Linked DNA regions of Arabidopsis thaliana. The protein of the gene in region 1 interacts with the protein of each later gene in a pairwise test. Each region holds a gene or a part of one and is shown in the gene's direction. Other genes may lie near its edges.

Region 1 (3,976 bases):
AGACATTATCTACAACTACAAGATATCAAAGCACTCGGTTAACCGCGTCCCTGTGAAGTGTTAGTTATCAGTACATGAATTGTGATTTCAGCATCTTGGTCCTTTTTTTTTTGGACAACCGTCATCTTTTTCTTGATCGGTTTTTATAACGTACAAACATATACTATTTCAACAGTTTTCTTTTAATTTTTTTTTTTTTTGAATATACACTTTCTTTCTTTTATTTGTTTGATTACAAAATTTTCAAAAAATAGTGTTCGGCAAAAAAAAAAATTAGATCGGCCAATGCATTATATCCCCTAGCGTAAGCTCTTTTTCAACCAATCGAGAGTCCATGTTTTCAATAAAAATAGGGTTTTATTAGTAACAGTAGTTAAAGCATTTAACATACGTAATCCCAAAAAAATAAAATAATTCTGTATAGGGACGAAGACTAGTATTCGTTGACGACAAGAGTAGAGTAGACTCTAGCTAGCTGCAAGTTTTGAAGAAATCTAATAACCAAATCTAAGTCATTTTACTTACATCATCATGGATCATCATTAACCACATGAGGCTGAGCAGATATCGAACGTGTGATTGCGATGTGGAGAAGTAAAGGACGAGGCCACGCGCAACTGAGCAGGAGCGCGTGAGATTCAGGGTTTTAGGGCAGAGATACGGAAAGAGACAGAGGTTTTATAGCATTATATTGAAAGAGAACAAATAAAAATAAAAATATGAGCCTCGTGATCGGAGATTTTTGCAGTGATGACTGTACTCTTCTTCCTCTTCTCTCCCCCTTGTCACGTGGGCTAAATTTTGACCACCCTTCTTCAATGACCATCAACATCGCATCACACTCTCTCCTTCTTCTTCTTCTACGTTTTTTATTTTCTGTTAAATTTCCTCCACAAAATCGATAATTTCAATTTTTTCATACAATATCATAGTTCTAGTAAAGTAAACATTCGTGTGTGAGTGACATAATAATTGCTTCAAAAAGAAATAACGAATTAATAAGAGTTGTGTGCTTGATGGTCCAAAAGTCGTATGTTTTTCACCATCACAATAAGATTTACCATATCTACTTAAACCAAACTTCAATCTATGATATTTGGAAGCTAGCAATGAATGATTTTGTTTTAGCATATGTTACCGAGCCTATTCATCTTTAGATTGAAAGTTTTGTGTCCAACAACTAGCAAACCCTTCGCTTTTTAAACCAAGATCAGTTTTTCTACATAGTTTCGACTTTTTGTTATTTTACTTCCCATCATATTTTGTTTTATTTACTACTGACATTTTCATAATGTACGGTACATTTTCATATATTAGCATCCTTATCTAAAAGCTAATCAACTCCATAACGTACTTGAAATAGGGATATTTTAGTTGAATTATTCAAAACAATCACACAGTGACACAGACTCTATGTAGACCAAGCATGTGTTATGTAATTAGAAAAAATAAACTGTGATTAAAATATCTTTTAACTTGTTAACTTGGCTGCCTAAAGAAACTTGATACTGTATCATCGTTCATCGTATTTTGTAATTAATAAAACATAAAAAAGCAAGGAAAACCCATTTGAGTAAATGATATATTAATATTACTTCGTAAAAAGCTGCGTCCCCACATATTCTATTGATTTTAAATACTATTCGTATTAATATAAACCTGCATATAAGCGTACATATACATTTCTGATTCTATATATAGGTGTGAGACCTTCTTCTCCATTCTACACTTCACTCCAACGTGAAACCTGCAAACTGAACTTATCTCTTCATATTTTCTTTAGCTTCTCTTAATTTTACACTTAGGGTTTTCAAACCAGTAGAGAGAGAGAGAAGTGTGTAAGAGCGATGATGCAGACTCCGTACACTACTTCAACGCAGGGGCAATATTGTCATTCTTGTGGAATGTTCCACCACCATAGCCAAAGCTGCTGCTACAACAACAACAACAACTCCAACGCCGGTTCTTACTCGATGGTCTTCTCCATGCAAAACGGTGGCGTTTTCGAGCAGAACGGTGAGGACTATCATCACTCTTCCTCCCTCGTTGACTGCACTCTCTCTCTTGGAACTCCTTCTACGAGGCTTTGTGAGGAAGATGAGAAACGTAGACGCTCTACTTCATCTGGTGCTTCTTCTTGCATCTCCAACTTTTGGGACTTGATTCACACCAAAAACAACAACTCCAAAACGGCACCGTACAATAACGTTCCTTCTTTCTCCGCTAACAAGCCAAGTCGCGGTTGTTCCGGTGGTGGTGGTGGCGGAGGAGGCGGTGGCGGAGGTGACTCTCTTCTCGCTAGACGCTGTGCCAACTGTGACACTACTTCTACTCCACTATGGAGGAATGGTCCTAGAGGCCCTAAGGTGACTTATTTATTTTAATTTTTATTAAAATGCAACTTCTTTTAATCAACACATGAAATGAAGATTTACAATAACCAAAAAGACAGTTCATCCCTTTGTTTTGAATATTTGCCTATCTGTTTTTTCACTAAAACCAATAAATCCCTTTCTCTATAGTTTAATTTATTGAAAGAAACATTAAATAATGATTTTGATGGTTCAGTAAATTTACTTGAATATAAGTTTTAAAACAGATATTTCAATAAAAGACATTAATTTATTTTCTTTTCGAATATTTTCATCACTATATAGAGATTTATGTATTGAACGAACATTAAATATAAGATATATTGATGGCTAATGATGATATGGATGGTTTTGGAATTTGCAGTCCCTATGCAACGCATGCGGCATTCGTTTCAAGAAGGAAGAGAGAAGAACTACTGCGGCTACAGGAAACACCGTCGTCGGAGCTGCACCGGTTCAAACCGACCAGTACGGGCATCACAACTCTGGCTACAATAATTACCATGCTGCCACTAATAACAACAATAATAATGGTACTCCGTGGGCTCATCACCACTCGACGCAGAGGGTTCCGTGTAATTATCCGGCAAATGAGATCAGGTTCATGGATGATTACGGCAGTGGAGTAGCAAACAACGTTGAATCCGACGGTGCTCACGGCGGTGTTCCGTTCCTTTCTTGGAGGCTTAATGTAGCGGATAGGGCAAGTCTTGTCCATGACTTTACCAGATGAAAGGAGAATAGAAAACGACGTTAGATTCTCTTAAAATTTCCATGTGGTTTAATTATGTCTAATTAAAAAAAAACCAAGAAAATATTTCTGAAAAAAATAGAAGTGTATATCGAGAGACGATGTTGATGTTTATTGATAGTGACGGTCTAACTTATGGTTTATCTATAAAGTACCGTTCTGGTCAATTTTTAAAATCATTTTCTAATATTTATTTTAAAAATATAACCTTCTTTTTATGGAAATCTTCTCTTCTCTAGTCTATAAAATAAACACTATAGTTAGATTCTTCTATTGATTACACAGTGATCGTCATAAAACATTACAGATGTAATCAAAACATTAGAAAGAAAAACAAAAAATGAAAGATGTGCATAAGAGAAAACACACAGACCAAAAATATAGACATAGGATATAACTCTTTTAATGTATATAGTTTAGAGTTGAACGGAGAAGTTTCAGTTCCACCTGAGTCCCTGAATTTCACAACTGAGACTTTAATAATAATAATATTCTTACTATTGGTTAATAAAAAATAGAGAAAATAAAATAAAAATTAGGGTGTTTGGTAGTGAAGATTGAAATCTGATCGTCGAATTGGGGAGAGATTAGATTCTGATCGTACCAATGTGGGTTTTGGTACTGTTGTGTTTTCAGTTTTGGATCAGAGAGCATTGTAGTGATTTAATGAACATATATTTGTCGTATTATGCTCTGCTTCTTCCTCCTTTATATTTTGACCGTCGTTTTGTCCTTTACTCACTCCTCTCTTCTTGACCTTTTGTTCGTGTCAATATGTGCTCTCAAGAATATTGTTTTTCTTCCTTTTTAATTACTTACTTTTTCCGATTTTTTATTACTGAACCGATTCTGC
Region 2 (4,508 bases), on another chromosome or scaffold:
TTTTATACACAAATATTTCGCTTACAATTTACATTAATAGTTTAATACTAACTCATTAACATCTTACCAAAAAAGAAAAATTAATTAAAGAATTTGTTTTATTGATTTCTCTTATTATTTTTATTTTTGGTAAAATGATTTCGCTTATACTTACTTACAAGTATTTTCTGAAAAATTTTTGTTGAGAATTTTTATTCCAAATTATGAAAAAGCATACAAAAATGATAAGAGAACTATAAACGATGGTGTGCAATTTAATTGGCGAGATTGTAAAATATTGGTCTTAGTGTATTTACAATTATCCACATGCAAAATTCTTATTATGGTTACATATCTTATGATTATTACAAAATTAAGAATATCTAAGTCTAACTAATGACCAAAAAACACGACAAAGAAAAGATGTTCCTAGCTAGTGTCGACTATGATTGGGCTTTGGCTTTGCATTTGTGTTGATTTGATGAACTCGAAATTATCAATCTCCGTCTCGTCACCATTCATACTCTGCTTATCATATAAACATGACGCCGTGAAATAACGGTGTTGGGCTTGACTTTTTAAACAAATACTATTCCTTTTTATCTTGTAGGTCGGCACGAGCATACTTTTTTTTTTCTTTGAGTTTTGAAGTTTTGACCTTGAAGCCACTTGACACGTGATTCGCACGCTTCCGTGAGAGTGAATTGTGAAATGTAAATAATCTCACAGTATCTACTTAAGAGACACTAATCTATCTCATTCTTTTATGGATGAGGATAGTGTTATAGATCTTACGTTAGTTCTGCAAACATGTCTACAGTATAAATAGCATGTGGTATGGAGGGAACTTGATAGCATTATAATGTTTTACTTTTGATTGAATTACATTGTTTTGGATTATTTACAAGTTACAACTAGATTATATTAACCATGTAATAATGAATAAAAACAAGTAATGTGAAGGTAGGGATAATACACGACATGCATATCTAACTTAAGATCACAAAGGACCCTAATAATTAGTTATGTGATAGCAACACTTGCATGACCCATTTGCAAAACCCTAGGGTACAAAAAACAATTTTGAAAGAAATTTGTTTTTGATGTGGATGCCCCAGGAGAGGCCTAGCAATAGCATAACATTACATCTACATATGGGGGACCATTACTAGCTAACTATTTTCTTACATTTATATACAAATATTTATTGTAAAACTTCTCAAAACGTAATGTTCAAAGCAGCAGGACCATAGAACTAGCAATGTCTCGGATTGTCCTTAAAAGTATAAAATCTATTCTCTTTTAGTTACTTGGTTCTTTCCTCTGAGTGTTTAAGTGAGGATCACAAGTTCATCAAGGACCATCTTGGAGCTGCAAACTATTCATGAAAGATTCTTTATCAAGAGACAATGATTCGCTAGATGTGTCTTTCCACATTTAATTCATTGTTGATAAAGTACTACTCTTGTTTCTTTTAAGTCGCCTTATATTAATCAAACCTAACTAAAATACAACGTTTAGCATATTCTTTCAAGTTTCTGTATCAAGTGCAGCTTACACTTAACGTTTCCTTCTATTATGTGTGAAATTTTGAGGTTGATTTCATGAGAACAACCCATAACTTTTCTTTTATTCATGTATCCCCTAAAAGTCTACAATAACAGTCATTTCTTCAAAACTGGGAATTTGTTTTTACTATCTACAGTTTGATTTTTTAACTAGTTGAAAGGAATTTTTTTTACTATTTCTTTTTCCTATGATATGTATCTCACAACTAAAAGATCCAAAACTCATTGATTTTTTTTGAGAAAAAGAGTTCTTAAAATATTAAGGGTTTGTCTTTTTTAACATGAATTAATTGCACAGTAATAGGGTTCTAGGGTAGTAGCCCTAGCATCTCCTTTCACTCAGGAAATGTCCCTCTCATCTCTCTCTTTCATCACACACACACATACATGCACACACACACAAACACTTTCTCTCTGGTTTAATTAAACCCCCTTAAGCCCACATGACCACCTCTTTCTTTTTAAGGTCACAAGACCCACTTTGCTAATTTAGTTTCCACACGCAGAGAGAGAAACAAAGAGAGAGATGGGAGGGAGGGTTTGTGGCAGATAAACTGATAGAAAACTTTCGAACCTCTCTTCTTTAACTTTTACTACTCTCTATTCGTTTTTCTCTTCCTTTTGTGGTGCCGCCTCCAACTGAAAGTCTTCTAATATATATTCTCAATTATTCTAGCTCTCCGGGAGAAGTCTTATCTCACGCCAATCTCTCATTTCCCACTATGTATATGTCCCACAAGATCGCTTTCTTAGTTCTATCTTCTATTAATTTCCTAATCTTTAAATTCACACTTTCTTTTTTGAAATTTCTGGCAGGAGGCATGAGGAGAATTACTTAGACCTCAACAATCTTCCAGATGATTTTTCTAAAGATGGCAATAAGCAAGCCCTCGAGGAAGGTTCTTCCTCTGGTATGCATACCATGAAAAACCCTAATTCTTTATATATATATATATATATATATATATTTTAATTTAAATATATTCTTTTAACTTTATATATATGAAACATGGAGGTATATAGTTATTAGTGTGTGTATTGTTAATGTGAAGGTTTATTTGGTGTTGGTAATTAATTAGGTCAAAGAAAGAAGAAAGGGAGTAAAGAAGGGAAAGATGAGAGTGGGAAAGTGTACGAATGTCGATTTTGTTCACTCAAGTTCTGCAAATCCCAAGCTCTTGGTGGCCACATGAATCGCCACCGACAAGGTATGTCCATTTATATACACTCTTCTTCAACCTCTTTTAACTTTCATATAATCATATTCACACTTTTTAGTTCGTCCAAATAAACCCAAATTTTCTATATAACTCTTTGTCTTTGATAAATGATTGATGTCACATCCATGCTTTGACTACAACTAAGTACCAGTAGATAGATGTAACTAATTGCATTTAAGACTAAAATTAGTTTGATGTCCTTTTGGTTCTATAAACCTAAAGAGAGGGAGACCGAGACATTGAATCAAGCTCGTCAATTGGTCTACCGTAACGATACCATAACCCCACCTGGAATTTCTCCTTTCGGGTACTCTCTCTTCCAAAAAAATTTCAAAATTATATAATATGTTACTCAATGTACTTATTATCATCATTTTTTTATGTAATTATGTGAGTTATTATCATATGAATGAGGTGAATCATAATTGTAATTATTTGCAGCTATCATCATACCACAGATCCAACAATATACCGGTCGGTTTACTCATCACCAATGATATATCCTGGAAGCTCTTCAACGAACTTGGTTCCGCAACCGCCGATGCCACCACCACCGCCTCCATATCCATACTCTTCAAACCAATACTCTCCTCACAACCACTTCAACGACTACTACTTAAACCCATCTTTTAGAGGCAGCAGAAGCATCTCTCCAAGTCCTAACCTCCCCACCACCACCACCGTTGATTACATGGCCGATAGTCCCGTGGAACCGGGCTACACTTGTGTTGGTGCACCCATTGGTCCGACCGGTTTCCCTATCCGTGGCCCAAGCATCGTCCGTGCGCCGCTTGAACCACCACAAGGTCGTGATGGTGACGCTTCACGACAGCGTTTGGATCACTCTCTTAGGTTCCCCATCAATCGGTTTCAAGATCATCACTCGCTCTGAGTTTTAATAGATTCTCTACGCTTTTCTTTTCTTTTCTTTTTTTGTTTTTTTTTGGGTATTTTCTTGTCCTCTTGTTTTGTAACTTTGTTGGTTCTATCTAAAAGTAGAGATCTAGAATTGTCTAAACGCCAAGATCCTACATGTGTTATTATCATAATGACATGTTTGTTGGTTTTTATTGGTCTAGTCGAATACTCTAATTATTCACAACCGGATTTTGTTTTATGTCTATTATTGATATATCATATATCTACCATTATGATTTGTGTTGTGCTTGATTTTAGTGCGGAATAAATACAAAAATATAAAAATTATCGTACTGAATCGCTGATGCCAAATGATGTTAAATCAATTCATTTAAGAGAAAAGTTAACATAGTTATAGAAGATGAGAGGGACCATCATGGATGTGTACTATTGGATATAAATTAAAAGGTAAACGTTTAACAAAGTTTCCATTTATGGATACACAATGGAAGTGATTACTATAAGCAAAAAATAAAGCTTTTGCAATATATATATTATTAGAGAACAACGAGAGGACAGAGAGGAACCGGACAAATTAATTGGTCAGAGAGAGAGAGAGAAAGAGATTGTCTTGATAATATATGATACAATGTGTAGTGAGATTGGAACAGCCTTTATCTGAGCTCATCTAGAACTCTCAGCTACTTTGGCTTGAAGCTAGCTATGAGGATTGGGGATTGGAGGGAATTGGTTTATGGGATTTGGTGTTGGTTGTTCAAAATCAAAATTAAAAAGGACATTTTATAACATATAAAGTGTAAGAAAGAAGTAACTAGATCCAGGTGGAGACCGTTAGATGCAAGCTGAATTCCCCTAACTAGTA
Region 3 (7,959 bases), on another chromosome or scaffold:
CTTTCTCCCATTTGCTGCCAAAAGATCTCTACCAACCGTTACATATCACACTCGAGTCAGTTGAACAAGTTTACTATAAAAATACATTCCTTGAACAAGATTTCTATAAAAAATACATTCCTTAATAGATTAACTTAAGCCATATAATTATAGGCCGGTGGTTTGCATATCTAATTATCAACTTCCTCGTACCAGAAGGAACCTTGTAGCTTATAGAGATATCATTGTATTCGAATTGATCATATTAAACTATTTTGATATTTACTTATTTTTCTAAAGAAACTAATTTTTGCTAAATTTATTCAATGACTAGTATTATGTTTTGAATAAACTTTGAACTGTATATTCTAACCTGAAAAATAAGTGGAATTCTACAGATCAATTACCAAAGTTTTGTCTTTGTTTTTGTGATATATCGAAGGTTTTAGAGCCAAGTTCGTAAAAAAAAAACAATGTCAAAAGTTAAAATAGCTCGAATGAATTTTGTTTCATGTAGGTTTTTTTTCTTATGATCGGACGTTTCATGTAGTCTCATGGAGTATGTTATAAACAAAAGAAAAAAAAAAATAGTGGAAGAAAACAAAATTAATGAGGTTGTAGTAGAGTCACGAAATGGGGTCTGCAGAAAGAAAAGAAAAGACTGCAAGTTCGAATTATTCCTTCTTCCGTGTGTGTAATTATCATTTGCTTTTATTATTTTAAAAAATATAAAACATTTACTATGTATTTTCTTACATGTAAACCATTTACTATTTTTCTCCACGAATATTTCTTATGTAAATTTATATAAATGTATGTATAAATACATACACTACGTTAGTGGTACTAAACGGACCACAAAGAAAGTGGCCATCAAGCTTAAGCAGCTGCAATAAGCTGACACATAAAGAAATCTGTCTATACATATCCAATAAAATCTAATTCAATAAATATGTACAAATGGTCACAAAAATAGTAAAGGGTGTAATCATGCAAAGTCGTGGTCTAGTCGTTTTCTCTATTAATTAAGCCCAATTTCGAAGTATACAATTAGGAGCAATTGGGAAAGTAGTACATTTTAATGATGATGCTAATTTGCAGTTGTAACACTTTATCACAAACTAGACAATCCACATTCACCGGCGGAAACTAACCTAGACTAGTTTCCAACATCAAAAGTCCAATTTTTGTTTCGTTTAAATAGATGGCGCAAACGTACAACTAAGATTAGATTTAAGTATTTAACTCTACAACTAGGTTGAGCCAAATGACGACAATGACAATGCCGACGACTGTTGATATACACAACTAACGTTTATCTGATTAGATGAGTTCGTGAACGGCTACACATCCATTAGCTTCTATTTAAACCATTTGTTATGAAACAATGTTTGACAACTCAAATGAAAAAGATGAACAATATTTCTATACCAAGTACCAAGTGAAACTTTTTGTGTTTACATCAGGTATGTAATCATTTTCCGTGTTCCTTTGTTAAAAACCGTCCATCCTTGATTCTTCTGATAATGGTAAAACTATCCGTTTGTTAAATTGTTTTATTGTATTTTTATCTATTGTAAAAAACTAATTAAATTTTAAATTTGCTATGCATAAACAATACTGTATATACATTTTTTATAATAAGATTAGAGAATTATAGTACCATCTTGTAACAATGATGTAATAAGAGACGAAAAAAAAATAACTAACTGATCATTACCATCCATAAATAAATAGTTGCTGCCATAAACCAAACACATTGTGCTTATCAAAAAGAAGAAATTTGTACTTAATGAAACATTCATTATTAGCAAAGTGTAAAACCAAAGAAAAACAAACTTTATTTCTCATTTTATTAGTAAAAGTGAAGAAGAGTAAAGAAAAAGAGAGACTGAGATGAGGCTGAGAGCCTGAGTCTGCGGGTGGAGAGAGAGAGAAAGAAAGCCTCTTTACACGTGATTTTTAAAAGAGACCAAAACCCCAAAAGCAAACCTCTTTTGCATGCGTCCTTAAAAGACATAAATTTCTCTCAAAATTTTCTACATCACAAAATCAATCTTTTTCTCTTCTTCTTCGTCTTCATCATCATCATCATCATCTTCCTCTTTCTCTTCCTACTGAGATATTTTCTCCACATTGAGAGGAAAGCTATCTTCTCTAGCGTCACTCTTCTTCTTCATTGGTCGGTGAGTGTTTTATTTTTTTTACTGTATTTCTTTTTAATATAGCGGACGGGTCATTTTCTCTCCGTAGCAATAAATTCACTTATATAAAATAAAATTTTCATTCTTCTTGGAGATATTGATATTTCCACTGCTCTTTTCGATGTTTATTCCTTCACTTTGTTCACTTGCTCTTAGTTTTTATCTTTCACTCTCTCTCTCTCACACCAAAGTTCACAGCAAAATAAAATTAAAATAAAAAAGCTTCGATTTTTCGATTAAAATCTTTGTAATTATCTGTTTGGGTTTTCTCCGGGATCTCATTTTCCGGTTTCAAATAGAGACAAAAGATTAAAGCTTTCTCCGGTTTTGTCTTCTGGGTATTCCCAATTTCCCCCATTTCACTTAAAGCTTTAATCTCTGTTCCTTGTTTTTGTCTGTGATTCTTCTTAATGAAAACAAAAACTGTAAAAATAAAAAAAAAACTTCTGGTGATTGGTTCCTTTTATTCTTGGTCTTTACAGTGTTTTCTTCTAATTTCATGGTTTCTTGTCTCTCTCTTTTTTATCGAGAAAAAAACTACATCTATCTCTGTAACACTGTATGTATATACTTCAGACTCTGTTTTAATCTCTGTTTTTTTTTACCTCTCTGGTTTCTGAAACTTTGTAATAGAAGAAACTAGAACAACAACATTTTTTACTTCACTGTTTCAAAGTTTTGATTTTTATTATTAAATTTAACCCAAAACACCATCATCATGGTTTTGTTTTCTGGATTTTCTCCATTTAATGCAATCTGACATTTTCTTATAATTATTTTTTGTTTGTACTTATTTTTCTTTCATCCTCATGATTTTGCAGGTAGAATAAGGCCAAGGAAGGGATCAGTTTTAAGTTTTGTTTCATTCTTTTTGTAGTGGAGAAAAAGAGTTTTTGAAAATCCAAACAACAAAAAATGCCGATTAGGCAAATGAAAGATAGCTCTGAGACTCACTTAGTTATCAAAACCCAACCTTTAAAGCACCACAATCCAAAAACCGTTCAAAACGGTAAAATCCCTCCTCCTTCTCCTTCTCCGGTGACGGTGACTACTCCGGCGACGGTTACTCAGAGTCAAGCTTCTTCACCTTCACCACCGTCAAAGAATCGTAGCCGGAGGAGAAACCGTGGTGGAAGAAAATCTGATCAAGGAGATGTTTGTATGAGACCTAGCTCTCGTCCTCGTAAACCGCCACCGCCAAGTCAAACCACTTCCTCCGCCGTCTCCGTCGCCACCGCCGGTGAGATTGTCGCTGTGAATCATCAGATGCAGATGGGTGTTCGTAAAAACTCAAACTTTGCTCCAAGACCTGGATTTGGAACACTTGGAACTAAATGCATTGTTAAAGCTAACCACTTTCTCGCTGATTTGCCTACCAAGGATTTGAATCAGTATGATGTAAGTTTTTATTAGAAAAAGTTAAGATTTTTTTTGCCTTTTTTTTAGTTTTTGCTGTAATGAGAAACAAAGCTTGAACCTTTAGATGGTTTCCTGAAAAAAGGTTTGAAATTTAATGAAGGAGAGAGAGTTAGATTTTAATGTTGTTCTTATTGCTTATTTGGGTCCATTGACATTTGGTTAATGTTTTGCAGGTTACAATTACTCCTGAAGTGTCATCAAAGAGTGTTAACAGAGCTATAATTGCTGAGTTAGTTAGACTTTACAAAGAGTCTGATCTCGGGAGGAGACTTCCGGCTTACGATGGCCGGAAAAGTCTTTACACTGCTGGAGAACTTCCTTTTACTTGGAAGGAGTTCAGTGTTAAGATTGTTGATGAAGATGACGGTATCATCAATGGCCCTAAGTAAGTGTCTAAGGTTCTTTAGGTGATTGATTTTGTTATGTGTAGTTTTATATTGAAATTGACACATTTTGCTTTGTAGAAGGGAGAGATCATATAAGGTGGCAATCAAGTTTGTTGCACGGGCAAATATGCATCACTTAGGCGAGTTTCTAGCTGGTAAACGGGCAGATTGTCCGCAAGAGGCGGTGCAGATTCTTGATATTGTACTCAGGGAGTTGTCGGTTAAGAGGTTTTGTCCCGTTGGAAGATCTTTCTTTTCGCCTGATATTAAAACACCGCAGCGACTCGGTGAAGGGTTAGAGTCATGGTGTGGGTTTTACCAGAGTATTAGACCAACTCAAATGGGTTTATCACTAAATATCGGTAAAGATTTGACTTAAGAGATTGTTACAGTTTTGGTTTTATTTTATAAGTCAGCCCAATCTTAATGTTATTCTCCTTACTTTGTAGATATGGCTTCAGCTGCATTCATCGAGCCTCTTCCAGTGATAGAGTTTGTAGCACAGCTTCTTGGAAAGGATGTCTTGTCGAAGCCATTGTCGGATTCTGATCGCGTCAAGGTACACAAGTCTCTTCATCTTATTATATCTTGTCTCAAGTCCTTGATTGTTTCCTCAAGAATGTTTTTTTTCTTGGGAATTTTTAACAGATTAAGAAGGGTCTTAGAGGAGTGAAAGTAGAGGTTACTCACAGAGCGAATGTAAGAAGGAAATACCGTGTTGCGGGTTTAACAACTCAACCAACAAGAGAGCTAATGTGAGTATTTTCTTTTTACTTACTCTTTGATTACTAAGGCTTGTTTCATTGAGATTAATTTCTGGTTTATATTCTTAGGTTTCCAGTAGATGAGAACTGTACTATGAAGTCAGTTATTGAGTATTTCCAAGAGATGTATGGATTCACGATCCAGCACACGCATTTGCCATGTCTCCAAGTTGGAAACCAAAAGAAGGCAAGCTATTTGCCGATGGAGGTAAACCGTAAACTGCTGGTTTGTTTGTTTCAAGACTTCACATTTCAGCTCTTGGCTATTTTCGCTGATTCAATTTCCAATGTAGGCATGCAAAATTGTCGAGGGACAACGGTACACGAAAAGGTTGAATGAGAAGCAGATTACTGCTCTCTTGAAAGTTACATGCCAAAGGCCGAGGGACAGAGAAAACGATATTTTGCGGGTATTTTTTTAGTCATGTATCTTATATGGTTCTTTGTGAGTTAGAACTTAGAAGTGAGGATTAATCTTGTTGTCAAAAATGTTTTATAGACTGTCCAACACAACGCATATGATCAAGATCCATATGCAAAGGAGTTTGGCATGAACATAAGCGAAAAGTTAGCTTCTGTTGAAGCTCGTATTCTTCCAGCTCCATGGGTAAAAAACCTAAACAGATCTCTGAATGCTCATACTATGAGAATACTGTTATGTTAATTCGTCTCTCTTTGCTTGCTACAGCTTAAGTATCACGAGAACGGGAAAGAAAAAGATTGTCTCCCGCAAGTTGGTCAGTGGAATATGATGAACAAGAAAATGATCAACGGGATGACTGTGAGCAGATGGGCCTGTGTTAACTTCTCACGCAGCGTTCAAGAAAACGTTGCTCGTGGATTTTGTAATGAACTTGGTCAGATGTGTGAAGTCTCAGGCATGGTAATAATATTCATCTTTTTTTCTTTTCTTGTTGCATTGTTTGAATTCTCTTTTAACTCGATGTGATTCTTATCAGAAAGCTTTGCTTCGTTTATCATTGTAGGAGTTTAATCCAGAACCCGTGATACCAATATATAGTGCGAGGCCCGATCAAGTCGAGAAAGCTCTAAAGCATGTTTATCACACTTCAATGAACAAAACCAAAGGCAAAGAGTTAGAGCTTCTGCTGGCAATATTACCTGATAACAACGGTTCACTTTATGGTATTATTTCGACATCCATAAACTTAACCCTTTTGCCTTCTTTAGTAATGGTTTTGATGAAAACGAAATGTTTCTTGTAATCTCAGGTGATCTTAAGAGAATCTGTGAAACCGAGCTTGGTTTGATATCTCAATGTTGTCTCACAAAACATGTGTTCAAGATTAGCAAACAGTATCTGGCAAATGTATCCCTTAAAATCAACGTAAAGGTGAATAGTTTTTACTGCTGTATCGAAGATTTTCGATTGTTTTTAGTATTATGAATCTCAGATCTTTCTATGTTTGGTTTCAGATGGGAGGAAGGAACACAGTTCTAGTAGACGCCATAAGCTGTAGAATACCACTGGTTAGCGATATACCGACAATCATTTTTGGCGCAGACGTGACTCACCCAGAGAACGGGGAAGAGTCAAGCCCTTCAATCGCTGCTGTAAGGATTATACACTTTTATCAAGTAGTGGAGCATCGAAATTCATTATACTCAGTTTTTTTCTTTTGTTTTCTTTAGGTTGTTGCTTCTCAAGACTGGCCTGAAGTGACAAAATATGCGGGTTTAGTTTGTGCTCAAGCTCACAGGCAAGAACTTATACAAGATTTGTATAAAACATGGCAAGATCCTGTTCGCGGTACTGTTAGTGGCGGTATGATCAGGTAATAACTCGCAATATTTCGGTTTTTGTAGTTTGATTTTATCGGTGTATCTCAAGGTTTTTTTGCTTGCTTTCTACAGGGACCTTCTTATCTCATTTAGAAAAGCAACAGGGCAAAAACCGCTTCGAATTATCTTTTATCGGTAAGTCTCTCTTTGCTCATTTAAGTAAAAGAATTATATCTAAAACCCACAATTAGTTCTCATGGTTGTTTTATTCGCGCAGTGATGGAGTAAGCGAAGGGCAATTCTATCAAGTTTTACTCTATGAGTTGGATGCAATTCGAAAGGTAAAAACTTTTGTGCATAGCATGAAATGAATCCGCCACAAAGTTAGCAAAACATTTTACATAATCGGAAACGGGTTTGTGTTTGTTTAGGCTTGTGCATCGCTTGAACCGAATTATCAGCCACCGGTGACATTCATAGTTGTACAGAAGCGTCACCACACTCGTTTGTTTGCTAATAATCACCGAGACAAAAACAGTACTGACCGAAGCGGAAATATCTTACCAGGTTAGTTATTAAAAACGGTTGAAAGAAGATCATAACAGAAATAATTAACTAACTAACTAACTGCTTCTTTGCCACCTTTTGTTTCAGGTACTGTAGTTGACACTAAAATATGTCATCCAACTGAATTCGACTTCTACCTTTGTAGCCATGCGGGTATTCAGGTACGAAACAACTATCGAAATATCCGTTAATATGACCTTTTCCGTAACTATACAGATAAAATGACACTGTTTGTGTTTGTTGTATGATCTAGGGAACAAGCAGGCCTGCACATTACCATGTTCTTTGGGACGAGAACAATTTCACAGCAGATGGTATTCAATCTCTGACTAACAATCTCTGTTATACCTATGCGCGGTGCACTCGGTCGGTCTCTATAGGTAAATAACAACATTTCTTCTTCTTCTTCGTGTACCCGCAAATATGACGAAAATCAGCAAACTCATATGTTCTTTTATTTTCTGATGTTGTACAGTTCCTCCAGCGTATTATGCTCATCTTGCAGCATTTCGAGCACGTTTCTACCTGGAACCGGAGATAATGCAAGACAACGGATCACCGGGTAAAAAGAACACGAAAACAACAACTGTCGGAGACGTAGGTGTGAAGCCTTTACCAGCCTTGAAGGAGAATGTGAAGAGAGTAATGTTCTACTGCTAAAAATCCAAACATTCCTTAATCAGTTTTAATAAGTAGTTTGGTTGTTTGCTTGTAGTTCGGCTTTAGATTTACCAATGTTTTTCTTATGTAAATTTTGTCGGTTTGGTTTAAGCCTTTAGGAATTAGTGTATTAGGGTTTTTCTAAAGTTGTACTTTAGCTGATGATAACGTTGATGCAGTGACTTTGTTAAAACCTCCTCTTCTACAGTAGTGTTTACGTCGGTTCCTCAAGCTTTA

Evidence for each region.
Region 2: the proteins of MNP (region 1) and JAG interact in a two-hybrid assay, tested with the Arabidopsis thaliana proteins (one study listed by BioGRID).
Region 3: the proteins of MNP (region 1) and AGO10 interact in a two-hybrid assay, tested with the Arabidopsis thaliana proteins (one study listed by BioGRID).

The regions. Positions count from the first base shown.
Region 1 is NC_003074.8:18,909,265-18,913,240, forward strand, and holds MNP (GATA type zinc finger transcription factor family protein), read left to right. Parts: upstream 1-1,682; 5' UTR 1,683-1,847; coding exon 1,848-2,366; intron 2,367-2,736; coding exon 2,737-3,105; 3' UTR 3,106-3,344; downstream 3,345-3,976. UniProt on the Arabidopsis thaliana protein: Transcriptional factor that specifically binds 5'-GATA-3' or 5'-GAT-3' motifs within gene promoters (including its own promoter and GATA21 promoter), thus regulating the expression of genes mostly involved in hormone responses and floral organ specification (including genes regulating hormones responses).
Region 2 is NC_003070.9:25,683,694-25,688,201, reverse strand, and holds JAG (C2H2 and C2HC zinc fingers superfamily protein), read left to right. Parts: upstream 1-2,006; 5' UTR 2,007-2,269; coding exon 2,270-2,271; intron 2,272-2,333; exon of another isoform or gene 2,334-2,363; coding exon 2,364-2,458; intron 2,459-2,626; coding exon 2,627-2,755; intron 2,756-2,841; exon of another isoform or gene 2,842-2,961; coding exon of another isoform or gene 2,962-2,989; coding exon 2,990-3,074; intron 3,075-3,208; coding exon 3,209-3,659; 3' UTR 3,660-3,888; downstream 3,889-4,508. UniProt on the Arabidopsis thaliana protein: Controls the morphogenesis of lateral organs. Functions in lateral organ shape and is sufficient to induce proliferation and growth of lateral organ tissue.
Region 3 is NC_003076.8:17,608,841-17,616,799, forward strand, and holds the start of AGO10 (Stabilizer of iron transporter SufD / Polynucleotidyl transferase), read left to right. Parts: upstream 1-1,903; 5' UTR 1,904-2,165; exon of another isoform or gene 2,166-2,521; intron 2,522-2,535; exon of another isoform or gene 2,536-2,742; intron 2,743-3,004; 5' UTR 3,005-3,098; coding exon 3,099-3,581; intron 3,582-3,775; coding exon 3,776-3,987; intron 3,988-4,066; coding exon 4,067-4,350; intron 4,351-4,437; coding exon 4,438-4,547; intron 4,548-4,636; coding exon 4,637-4,743; intron 4,744-4,821; coding exon 4,822-4,960; intron 4,961-5,045; coding exon 5,046-5,162; intron 5,163-5,251; coding exon 5,252-5,359; intron 5,360-5,440; coding exon 5,441-5,635; intron 5,636-5,738; coding exon 5,739-5,898; intron 5,899-5,984; coding exon 5,985-6,106; intron 6,107-6,189; coding exon 6,190-6,327; intron 6,328-6,405; coding exon 6,406-6,548; intron 6,549-6,627; coding exon 6,628-6,690; intron 6,691-6,772; coding exon 6,773-6,836; intron 6,837-6,926; coding exon 6,927-7,062; intron 7,063-7,149; coding exon 7,150-7,223; and 5 more. UniProt on the Arabidopsis thaliana protein: Involved in RNA-mediated post-transcriptional gene silencing (PTGS). Main component of the RNA-induced silencing complex (RISC) that binds to a short guide RNA such as a microRNA (miRNA) or small interfering RNA (siRNA).